Linked DNA regions of Arabidopsis thaliana. The protein of the gene in region 2 interacts with the protein of the main gene of each other region in a pairwise test. Each region holds a gene or a part of one and is shown on either strand. Other genes may lie near its edges.

Region 1 (3,757 bases), on a different chromosome or scaffold from region 2:
CAGCTGACATTTGTTTTTTAATGATACTTATTAGATAAATACACACTATTTTTTTTATGTATAAAAGCATACATCGCAAAAGTATGTTACAAGAACAACTATCCAGAAGGAGCCGCTGTTTTTATTTTACTGCTTAAGACTAAAGAGTAAACAATACATACAAATTACACAACAAGCATATATTAATATTGTTAATGTGCTTTAACGGTTTCTCCAAACTTGTAGGTTAAGCCGTGGATATACTTTTTCCTAACAGGATGTTCTTCCTGTGGCCGGTTATATGGTGTCCAAACCGGTTCCCCCACGAACAGCCTCATTAGCTGCAAAACCAAACCACCATACATCACAAACCAACAATCAAATCTTTTAACATAAGATATTAAGATGTAATATTTCATTTGCGTATTCATATAAATTAGTAAATTAGTATAGAGACTGAGTTTGGCTTTTTGTACCTTGATGTAGTTGCTGGCGTCGAGTGTGAACCGGTGGTAGATTCCGGCAGGAAGGACAATGAGATCGCCAGGTTGCATCCAGATACGGATCCAACGATCATCCTTGTCCCTAACATCAAAGTAGCCACTTCCTGCTAGGCAGTACCGAATCTCTTCGTCCTTGTGAATGTGTTCTGTGAAAAAGTTCTTCAGCTTTTCTTCGTAGTTGCTGACTTTCTCGGGACACAGATCCAGCAAATCCTAAAATGAAGATTAACCAAAGTAATCATTCTGCTTGAGAAAATTAGTTTATAGCTCATAAGTTACAATGCTACACACCACACAAATAGCTTAATTATTTTTAACGTAAACCAAACGTTTTAATGTTCCCTTAATACTCAATTACAGAGAAGCCTTCTTCCTTAATAAGCTGGTTTCTAAAATGTTTGTAGTCATACTACCCCTTAATGGTTATGCAAGATTATAGTCCTACTGTCCTATGATACATGTTTTTTTTTTTCATGAGATTAGCGTGCAGAGATAACAAGTAAAGGAACTGAAACATCAATAGCCGCTTATGGTGAGCATGAGTTAAAAAAGGGTGATCAGAAAGACATAAGCCGTAGCAAATCCTGTACTCTAATACTCATAAGGCTTCTTTCTTCATAGGCTGGTTTTGTAAGGTTTGAGTACTACCTTCATTATGTAGTCCTACACTCCTACTGTGTCTAGTATATGTCACAATCGTTAATCTCATGAGATCAACATGCAACGATATGCAACAAGTTAAAAAACAGAGACATTCAATTGGCATTTATGATGAGCATGAGTGTTCCTAAGTTAAGAAAAAACAGTGATCAGGAAGAGATAATATGCGTACCATGTAATCGTAACCCCTGTCTTCTCTAATCTTGCTAAGTTCAGAATCATTCTCGTAGTTCTCAGGGTTCAACTTCCAGTACAACACTCCCAACTCTACAAAACACAACAACTATATTTGTGATATTTGCATAATTTATGATTCTGTTAAATCTCATCTTGGGTAAATTTGACCATTTCCTTAGTTTTAAGACGGTTTACGTTTAGTTTCCTCATGTAGAATCACTACTCAATACAATAAAGCATGAAAGATTGATGTTTTTCAAAAGTTGCAAAGTAAGAGTAATTTTTAAGGTAGAGAATTGAAAAGACCTGCCAAGTAATCCAACGAGACGAGTTCTTTCGGGTTACGATGATGAGGAAGTCTCTGGTCCTCATTGCTATCATCCATAAACCATGCCTGCATCAATCAACACTTAAGCCTCAGGGAAAGAAAAAAATCTCAAGAAAAAACTTTTGATTCAATTTTCAATTTCAGCTGCAAAACGGTAAAATCAAATCCCAATTCTCAGTTCTGCCAAAATCAAATCAAATCCCCAAAATAATTCCGAAAGAGCAACGATAATCACTATTGAACGAATCGAGATTCGAAATCAGAATCTAGAACCTATGAATCAGAACTCACCTCGAGAGCCATTAATGATCTTCGTTGTGTAAATGCTTTTTTGATTTCAGACTCATCAGAGTGATGAAGATCAGATAAATAAATGGCTATTTCCTCCGTCGATGATAGCCACGTGTACGATCACTTTAATTCGTATTATTTTCCTTTCTCCTAATTTTTATTAATTCTGGTTTCGAAATTCTAATAATAAAAAATCGTTATTTTTTCTTTTGCACGAAAAAAACAACCGTTTTCGAGCCACAATGATCATGAATGAATAAGACCAAAACATTGGCTCATTTGTATGATATTGTATTTTCTGAGGTTCATATATTTCCATCTGATTTGAACTAGAATGATCTATATTCAGATATATAATTTATATTTCAAACTTGAAATTAGTTTTAACTAGAAAAAAAAAATGTAATCCAAAATCGTACATAGGTATATATATTTTTTTTCCACAAATCGTACATAGGTAATGAGGTAATGTTTAACACTTTAACTTGGGCCGTGTAATACAAATTGGGCCGTTTAACACTTTAAATTAGTCTCGAATGTTATATAATGTTTTTTTTTTTTTTAAATTGGACTAGAGAAAAAGTAGTCTAGTATGAAGTACAAAGCCCATTCCTTGTACCCAGCAACAGCATATCAATTTATTTTTTTGCTAAGAGCATATCATATCATATCAATTTTTTTCTCTTCTATATTTTAATTTTTAATACTTCTTAGTCATAAATCTTTTGACCATTTATTATTAAATTTAATCTGAAACACAAAGTAACTTTCTTACAAAAATTCAAATCTCCAATTATTTTGTTTGAATTTAAATATTTTTTAAAATTCCAAAAAATCTCATATATATAGGATCTGACTTTGTTTAAATATAGAGAAATTTAACTAGACTATAATAAAAAGACTTCATAAAATTTATTACCCAAAATTAGAAAAAATCAGGTTTCAATACTGAAAATAGACTATGAATATATGGCCTTATGATTGTAGTTGTTATATTCCATGCACACATAAGTAATTTCTTTCTATTTGATTTGTTTTTTAAAAAAAAATATTTAGAAGTTTAAATTTAAAGGTCTTATATTTTTTAGAGATGGGACACAAGTTAAATTTATATTCTTTAGAAAATAGATTCTTTTCAACAGACGTTTAATCCAATATCTACATCTGGAAGATTTATCATTACACCAACCCCAATAATATAAGTAATTTAACATAAGTAATTTTTTTCTATTTGATTTTGTTTATGTGCTCTTTAAAATTAACCAAGATTTCAACGGCCATACTTCTTATAACTTTTAATAATATCTCTACTCACCTCATTCTCATGAACCCACCAAACAAAAAAAGTAAAGAAAAGAAAAACTAATAAAGAACAAAAAAAATGTCCTCTTCTTCATCAAGAAACGCCTTTGAAGATGGCAAATACAAATCAAATCTCTTAACCTTGGACTCATCATCTCGTTGCTGCAAAATAACACCGTCTTCTAGAGCTTCACCGTCTCCGCCAAAGCAGCTGTTGGTGGCTACGCCGGTGGAGGAAGGAGATTATCCGGTGGTGATGCTCCTCCATGGTTACCTTCTCTACAACTCCTTCTATTCTCAGCTTATGTTGCATGTCTCTTCTCATGGCTTCATCCTCATCGCTCCTCAGGTTCAATTTCAATTTCCAATCATTACATTAGTTCAGGAACTAATTAGCCACTGAAATTCTTGTTTAGTTTTAGATTCCTATGTGTATTAGTAATTTAGTATAGAAATTATTTTTTGGGGGGTCAAACTAGTGTATAGTTTTTGTTTAATTAGTAAAATGTTATGAGTT
Region 2 (3,757 bases):
CTTAGCAAGACGATGTATATCGTTTCCAGAGTTCCTATAGATATAACAGTAGTACCCATATTAACATAAATGATGTCAATAACTTAATAAAAGAAGTGGGAGCGTCCATGTTGGGGCATACATGAGCTCAGAGAGACCACGTTTCATATCCTTCTCTGCTAAAGCCGTCCTCTCAAGCAATTTCCTGCTCTCCTTTTTCATCAAGTCTACAGACATGTTTAACTCCTGAACATGCTTCTCAGCTTTCAAGAATTGTGCCTGAAGCGACGATGATTTTGAAGTGGATGTAAAAATAAGGGAAGGGACACAGACCAGGGCAACTAAGCATAACAACGTTAAGAAATAAATTTGAAGCTGGTATAGTATATACCTCTTCGCTCTGAAATCGGCCTAGTGTATTACGAAACAAGAATCTTCTTGGGCCTGTAAGTCGAACAATAGAAAACCAAATTCATACAAGACACATATAAGTAAAACAGATGTAATACCATTTGGATGCTCCTACGGGAAGGAATCTTGTAAGTTGTAAAAGTGATAAGAGAGTAGAGGTTATACCTCGCATCAGAACGAGACTAGCAGCGACACCAATCCCAATAGCAGCAGCCGGATGCTCTTTTGCGTATATCAATTCGTCTGCGAGGATAACAAAAGCAGCAGAGGATACGAGGATTGATTAATCGGAATGACATGAAGATTCTAGTTTCAGAACACTATAAGATGCACTACAAGTATATATAAAAGTTTTGTGGCAGCTATCTGTTATATCTCAGTTTGATCTAAAATACTCGTTCCTAAGCATTACAGTAGTCTACCAGTATAACTTTTTCACGAAAATTGGCTGCAAGATACCTGTAACTTTACTGAAGAAAGCATTCTCATAGGTCTTATACTGAGTCAAAGCATGTGGAATGAAATCCTGCAATTTCAGAATCAAATGTAAGATTGTATGAGAGAAGACGAAGACATATACATACATCTAATGGAACTGTGATTTCAGCCAGATAGGGTCTACTCCATATCACACATCATTAAGCTACATGAATATCTGATATCATATAAAAACATTGTTTAGAGAATAATCAAGAATGCCTCAGCGATACATTACAGTCTTCTAAACAACCATTTGAAGCAGAATCAGAACCCAGGAAGAGACTAAGATCATTGCCAATAAGTTATAATGGTATGATTCAACAAGATTTTACCCATATGAACAAAAACTAGCACCATTCAATACATAAAACTGCTAATTGGAGAAATATCTGTTCTGAATCGAGCTCATTTCTAGAAATTATAGCTTACGAGATACTAAATTCCACCATATCCATGGTTTGAAATCCTGAAAATGTTTTTTGGTAAACAATCTCGATTCGCAAAAATTGTTTGGTGAACAAAAGAGAGATTAACTAACCTGTATAGAGCGGAACTGAGAGGTAGAATTTTCACGGAGGGAACGAGCAGAACGCATTGCGGTATCCTTCGATTCCTTCACCGTCCGTTGCAAATCACCCACCCATTTCTCTGCTCCTTCTATGGCTCCTTCCACCGATTCAACCACTCCGATCGCTGTATGCTCCATCGCATCAGAAACAGTTTCAGTCTCAATCGCTGGAGCCGAATCATCGGTAACGCCGGTTGCTTCGGTTTCGCTCATCGTCTCCGATTTGCCTTTCTCGCACGGAGACAACGCCTTTTCTCCTTCTTTCAACTTCAACCGGTTCGATTCGGTTCAATTTGATTCCAAATTAGAAGTTGGTTTTAAATGGTTAAGATAGACCCGGCTCCTTTATATATCAGTTTGCGGTTAATGGGCTTTAAGATTGGGTCTGCGAACTATACATTACATTCCCTTTTCTTCGTCTTCATCTTCGTCTTCCTTTCCTCCTTCATTCCTCTTTTCTTCGTCTCCCACCATTTCTGCAGAAGAAGACAAATAAAAAAGCTCTCATTTATCTTCGTGGAGATCTAAAAGAAGGAGGAAGACATTTCTTCCCTCTGGATCTCCAAAAGTAAGAACATTTACAAGGTTTGTTTTTGTATTTGTTTTGTTTTAATTACTCCATGAGAATTGAGAGTTTTCTTTTCATGGATTAGCCCTGATTTCTATTGTTATCTCTTTATAGAGGCAAATTTTGGTTGATCTGTTTATTCGCATTTGCATAGAAAGCTTGCGTTTTGTTGTCTGAAACTTGAGCTAATGATGTTGGTGAAGATGATATTATCCTCTTTTTAGTGAAACTTTTGGGAATACCATTCTCTTTATTTAGATCTGATGAAACAAAGGTCGAAACTTTATAGGTTTGCTTCTTCATGTTTTTTTTTTTGTTGTTCTTCTGGTTGTTTCAGAAACGAGAGGTTTGGGTGGGGAAGGAAAGAAGGAGGAAGAGGCAATGTCAGCTAGGTATTGGTGTCACATGTGTTCACAAATGGTGAATCCAGTTATTGGTGCCGAGATCAAATGCCCCTTTTGCCAAAGCGGGTTTGTCGAGGAAATGAGCCGTGAGATTAATGGCGGCAGCAGTAGCAGTCTAAGGGAGGTTCAAGACCCTGAGATTGATTTTGGTACAGACCGTGCATTGTCTCTATGGGGTCCAATCTTGCTTGGAATGATGAGTAATCCTCGTAGACGTAGAAGGTTTAGGAGGACAGAGTTTGGTGTGGATAATGATGAGGTCAATGTATCTGATGATGTTGATGGAAATGACAGCGTCGATATTGATCGACATCATCATCGTCGTCATCGCCACAGGCAACAAGGTAGAGAGATTGATTTAGACAGAGAGTTTGAGTCTATCCTTAGGAGGAGACGGAGAAGCTCAGCTACTATATTGCAGTTGCTTCAGGGTATTCGTGCAGGGATTGCTTCTGAGTATGAGAGCTCGGATCGAGACCTGTTAAATCAATCAGCTGTTGTTCAGGGTTCAACGAGTTTGAATCAAAACCGGAACAATACTTCTCTTTCTGCAATTGGAGATTACTTTGTTGGATCCAGTTTAGACCATTTGCTTGAACATCTAGCTGATAATGATTCAATCAGGCACGGGAGTCTTCCAGCACGTAAAGAAGTTGTGGATAATCTCCCAACGGTTAAGATAAGTGAATCATTGCAGTGCTCGATTTGTTTGGATGATTTTGACAAAGGAAGTGAAGCTAAAGAGATGCCGTGTAAGCACAAGTTTCACATCCGGTGTATAGTACCGTGGCTCGAGCTTCACAGTTCATGTCCCGTGTGCCGATATGAACTCCCTCCTGATGATGAGACCAAGGTTAATCCTGTAAGACCGAGAACAAGAACTCTAGAGATCAACGTAAGTAATGAGAATGTGGAAGATGATGCAAGGAACAGTAATGTGAGCGAGAGAAGGTTCTCTTTTCCATGGCCGTTCAGCGGATTATTCTCTTCATCCTCTTCGTCATCCGCATCGGCCTCGGGGTCATCTCATCTCGGTGAGAACTCGTAAACTGCTATTCCTCAGCTTATAGTACATAAAATCTTGTTCACTCAGATTGTTGAATACTGCATAACAAATAAACACTTTCGAGGAATGGAATCTTTTCTTTATTTGTATTATAATATCTGATGATCATTTGGGTTTCCGTTAAAAGTATCCCTTTTAATTTAGTAAAATATAAAAAGATGAACACAGGTATTTATGTTGAGAGGGAGAGGCATGTGACTGTGAGTATGGTTGTTGACTGCATGAATCGCATTATCTCCAAATACGAATCCCAAAGTTGTGTGATCACGAGCCAAATGTGA
Region 3 (3,757 bases), on a different chromosome or scaffold from region 2:
ACTCAGACTCAGAATTAGTGTTGTTTATGTATGTATATAAAGAAGTTTTGAGAAAGGGAGCTTCATTTTGAAGGTAGTGTGCTTCTATTGTGTTGGGGATGTTTATAGTTCTTGGGTTTGGTATCTGCAGTATATTTGTGAACTGTGAAGTAGTTCGAGTTGCACATGAATGAAAACTAAAACATCTCAGTTGATTTGAGATTCTCCAAATTTGATTATTACTTTGTCCAAAACAAAGACTATTCTAAACTTACATGGATTCACAGGCTTAGATCCAGCACTAAAATTCGGCATGTGATACCTGGATATCAAAAAACAACATGAAGTTCCTGTCTCTTTCAAAAGAACAAAAGTTACAAAATGTTTAAAAAACATTACATCACACAAGAAGTCAGCACTTTTGTTTACCAGTCACCAACTCAACAAGCAATAACCAACAGAGATAAACAGAGAAGCTTTGAAGTTCTAATCACTATTGTAACCACCATCATCGTTATCCTTATCTTCGTGGTCCTTCACCACTCGTTCTATGAACTGTCTTCGAACTCCAGCCATCACAGCTTCCCTCGAGGAGTCATCGTCTCCTCCTTTGCCATCGTTAAGAACTGGCTCTGATTGACACAGAAGTAAGGCTACACCTGAAAAACCAAATCAGTTGCAAGTATGTTAGACATGTGCCTAAGACCAATCTGCTCAAAGCATGATACAATCGCCAATGTGGTCACATCAGGTCTCAGATCAGACAAAGGCTAGAGATGAGACATGACATAATCATCAAACACAAATAAGCACAGATTACATCAGACAAACAAGGGTTCATTCAAACTTACTCTCTGGGGTGCACCTACGGCCAAAGCTCTTTAAGCCTACATGAGTTCCTTTGATGGCGCCATGGTGGTACACCAGCAAGGTAGGAAGATTGCAATCAGGGTAGTTCGGAATACAATCAGTAGATATTATCTTAACGAACTTTGTTGCTGGGTATCTACTACCCAATTCGTCTAGACAACCCAATAGCAAACTACATTCTGCAACACTATCAGAGAACAACAAGAAATAAACATGAGTTAATAGTGTTTCAAGCATGTAGTAAAGAATGGCTCAACAAGAGTTCACGAATACTTGAAAAAACATACCCATCTTTATAGAGACATACAACAACCCAATCTTCAGCAGAAGCTTGCGTAACCTCCCTCACGAAATCAGAGCCCGAGATGGGAGTCACTGTTCCATATCTTTTAACTTTAGCAGCCTCTCTTAGCTCAGACAACCTCTTCTTCCTATGAAAGCATCAAAACACATTAGTGCCTGTGAATCATGAAGTGTGTTGCACAATTATGTTTAGCCTATTCATCAACATCTCAAATAAGATACTACCCTCAATTGCATTCATATCCAAAACACAAACGAATCGAGAAAAACCAGAGCTTGATAATTGCATTCCCTAGCTACATGGCAACAGATCCGAGAAAATTGAATTCACAATCCACCAAGGCAAGGATTCTCCAGGGAAAGTTAAGATTGTAAATACAAAAATCAGAATGTTCGATTCGATCTACGAACCTGTATTCTTCGAGAAAGCGATCATCGTCGAGATCTTTGTCGTCCTCAAGATCCTCAAGCTCCTCCTCTGTCTTCTTATCAAACCATGCCTGATCCTTAGGAGCTGAAGACTCGTCTTCCGCCGGAGTATACGCCGGAGGTTTGAAAGCCGGAGCCTTCTCCGGTAGATTCCCCAATTTCCGCTGGATATCATCCCATTGAGTTGACGCTCCTTCAATGTCCTTATACACGAAATGATAATCCGCCATCAAAGTATAACCACCTACGAAGCTTCAAAGAGAACCTTTGAATCTGAGAGGAGAAAAAGCAGATTGCTTTGACACTCTGTGATCGCAATCTCGTTCTTTCTCTGGAAAGACGAATGATAAAAGGCCATCCCCGAAATTGGTCTGGCTAAACCGACAATTACCATCTGGTACATTTCGAACCGGGAATATTTGGTTTAAAAGCCGGTTAGATATTGGTTTATTATTCTAGAGTAATGTATTAGACTCTTAACCGTTCGGAGGGTTCGTATATATATTATGAGAGCATGTATTTTTATGGAGAAGATCCAGAGATAATTAAACAAACAGTTTAGCAAAAGATTTTGAGAGGGAGAAAAAGGGCGATCGATTAGGGTTTTTGTGTTTTCGTCTTAGTATCGAAGATGATCGGAGCTGTGAACTCGGTGGAGGCTGTGATAACGTCAATCCAAGGTTTATCGGGGAGTCCAGAGGATTTATCTGCACTTCACGATCTTTTGAGAGGAGCTCAAGACTCGCTCCGAGCCGAACCAGGTGTTAATTTCTCTACTCTTGACCAGCTCGACGCCTCGAAGCACTCTCTCGGTTACCTGTATTTCCTGTGAGTTTTAACCTATTGGTAGATTAGGTTTTTGTTACTAGTTTGTGTATACTTTGAGGCTGATTGATGATTTTGGTTATTGGAACTTGATGTGTGTGATTAGGTCGAAGTTTAACAAGGAGAATTGTCTATGTTATTCGATTTCTGATCTTTGAGTTTTTTGTATGGTTTGATTGTTACAGTGAGGTTCTTACCTGTGGTCCAGTGTCGAAGGAGAAAGCTGCTTATGAGATACCGATAATTGCACGGTTCATCAATTCTTGTGATGCTGGGCAGATTCGTTTGGCGAGCTATAAATGTAATTTACTGACACTTAATGAGAGCTTATCTTGTCTTAATGTGTTTTCTTTTCTTTTTTCTTTGGGGAGATGGATGATGTTATTATATTGATTTTGCAGTTGTATCTCTTTGTAAGATATTGAAAGACCATGTTATAGCACTGGGAGATCCGTTGCGAGGAGTAGGGCCACTGTTAAACGCTGTTCAGAAGCTTCAGGTCTCCTCCAAGCGTTTGACTGCATTGCATCCAGATGTTCTTCAACTCTGTTTGCAGGCGAAATCGTACAAATCTGGTTTCTCCATTCTTAGTGATGATATCGTGGAGATTGACCAGCCAAGAGACTTTTTTCTCTATAGCTATTATGGGTAAGCAATTTTTCCTCATTGCTATCTGTTTTTTTCCTTTGATCAATAGATGTGTAAACACATTAAATCCATCCCTGTTGGGTTTGTTTTATAGTATTTTCTTATTCTGGTCCTTGATTACCTGGACTTTTGATAGGGGAATGATTTGTATTGGACTGAAGAGATTTCAGAAAGCATTAGAGCTTCTTTACAATGTAAGGCATTTTTATTTTTTCTTACGTGCTTTTTATACATTAAGGACTTTCGTTTTAGTTTTAACTCAACCTAAGTACTTGTATCAGGTTGTGACTGCTCCTATGCATCAAGTCAATGCCATAGCTCTTGAGGCGTACAAAAAGTACATATTGGTGTCTCTCATTCACAATGGGCAGGTAAGGCTGTGTTCTTTATATTTTACTTTCTTTGTTTATCTAGTTTTCGGTCATGGGAGCATATTGCACGAGTCTGAATCAACTGTATGTTTTTGAGAAATGTTGGTTTCACAATTACATCCTGTGTCTGATTTTAATTTCAAGCATTGGTTAATCTTATGATGTTTTTCTTATAATCTTGTTTGATTTTACTTGTGCAGTTTACTAACACTCTCCCCAAGTGTGCTTCTACAGCAGCACAGAGGAGCTTCAAGAACTATACCGGAGTAAGTTTGAACCCGATCATTAGTTGTATTTTTCATGTTTGAATGGAGTCTGGTCCCTTTTTCACT

Evidence for each region.
Region 1: the proteins of AT4G26410 (region 2) and ARD4 interact in a two-hybrid assay, tested with the Arabidopsis thaliana proteins (one large-scale study listed by BioGRID).
Region 3: the proteins of AT4G26410 (region 2) and AT5G14240 interact in a two-hybrid assay, tested with the Arabidopsis thaliana proteins (one large-scale study listed by BioGRID).

The regions. Positions count from the first base shown.
Region 1 is NC_003076.8:17,627,173-17,630,929, forward strand, and holds the start of ARD4 (RmlC-like cupins superfamily protein), read right to left. Parts: upstream 2,192-3,757; 5' UTR 1,951-2,191; coding exon 1,939-1,950; intron 1,714-1,938; coding exon 1,626-1,713; intron 1,410-1,625; coding exon 1,315-1,409; intron 696-1,314; coding exon 456-695; intron 321-455; coding exon 192-320; 3' UTR 1-191. Other genes in the region: CLH2 (chlorophyllase 2), read left to right, coding at 3,320-3,589. UniProt on the Arabidopsis thaliana protein: Catalyzes 2 different reactions between oxygen and the acireductone 1,2-dihydroxy-3-keto-5-methylthiopentene (DHK-MTPene) depending upon the metal bound in the active site.
Region 2 is NC_003075.7:13,344,654-13,348,410, reverse strand, and holds the start of AT4G26410 (chromosome-associated kinesin), read right to left. Parts: upstream 1,758-3,757; 5' UTR 1,652-1,757; coding exon 1,409-1,651; intron 917-1,408; coding exon 850-916; intron 634-849; coding exon 556-633; intron 424-555; coding exon 371-423; intron 259-370; coding exon 122-258; intron 35-121; coding exon 1-34. Other genes in the region: AT4G26400 (RING/U-box superfamily protein), read left to right, coding at 2,388-3,458.
Region 3 is NC_003076.8:4,595,758-4,599,514, forward strand, and holds AT5G14240 (Thioredoxin superfamily protein), read right to left. Parts: upstream 1,952-3,757; 5' UTR 1,812-1,951; coding exon 1,564-1,811; intron 1,281-1,563; coding exon 1,137-1,280; intron 1,037-1,136; coding exon 831-1,036; intron 639-830; coding exon 466-638; 3' UTR 171-465; downstream 1-170. Other genes in the region: AT5G14230 (ankyrin), read left to right, coding at 1-18; COP13 (Proteasome component (PCI) domain protein), read left to right, coding at 2,213-2,409, 2,592-2,707, 2,808-3,054, 3,191-3,248, 3,336-3,425, 3,626-3,691.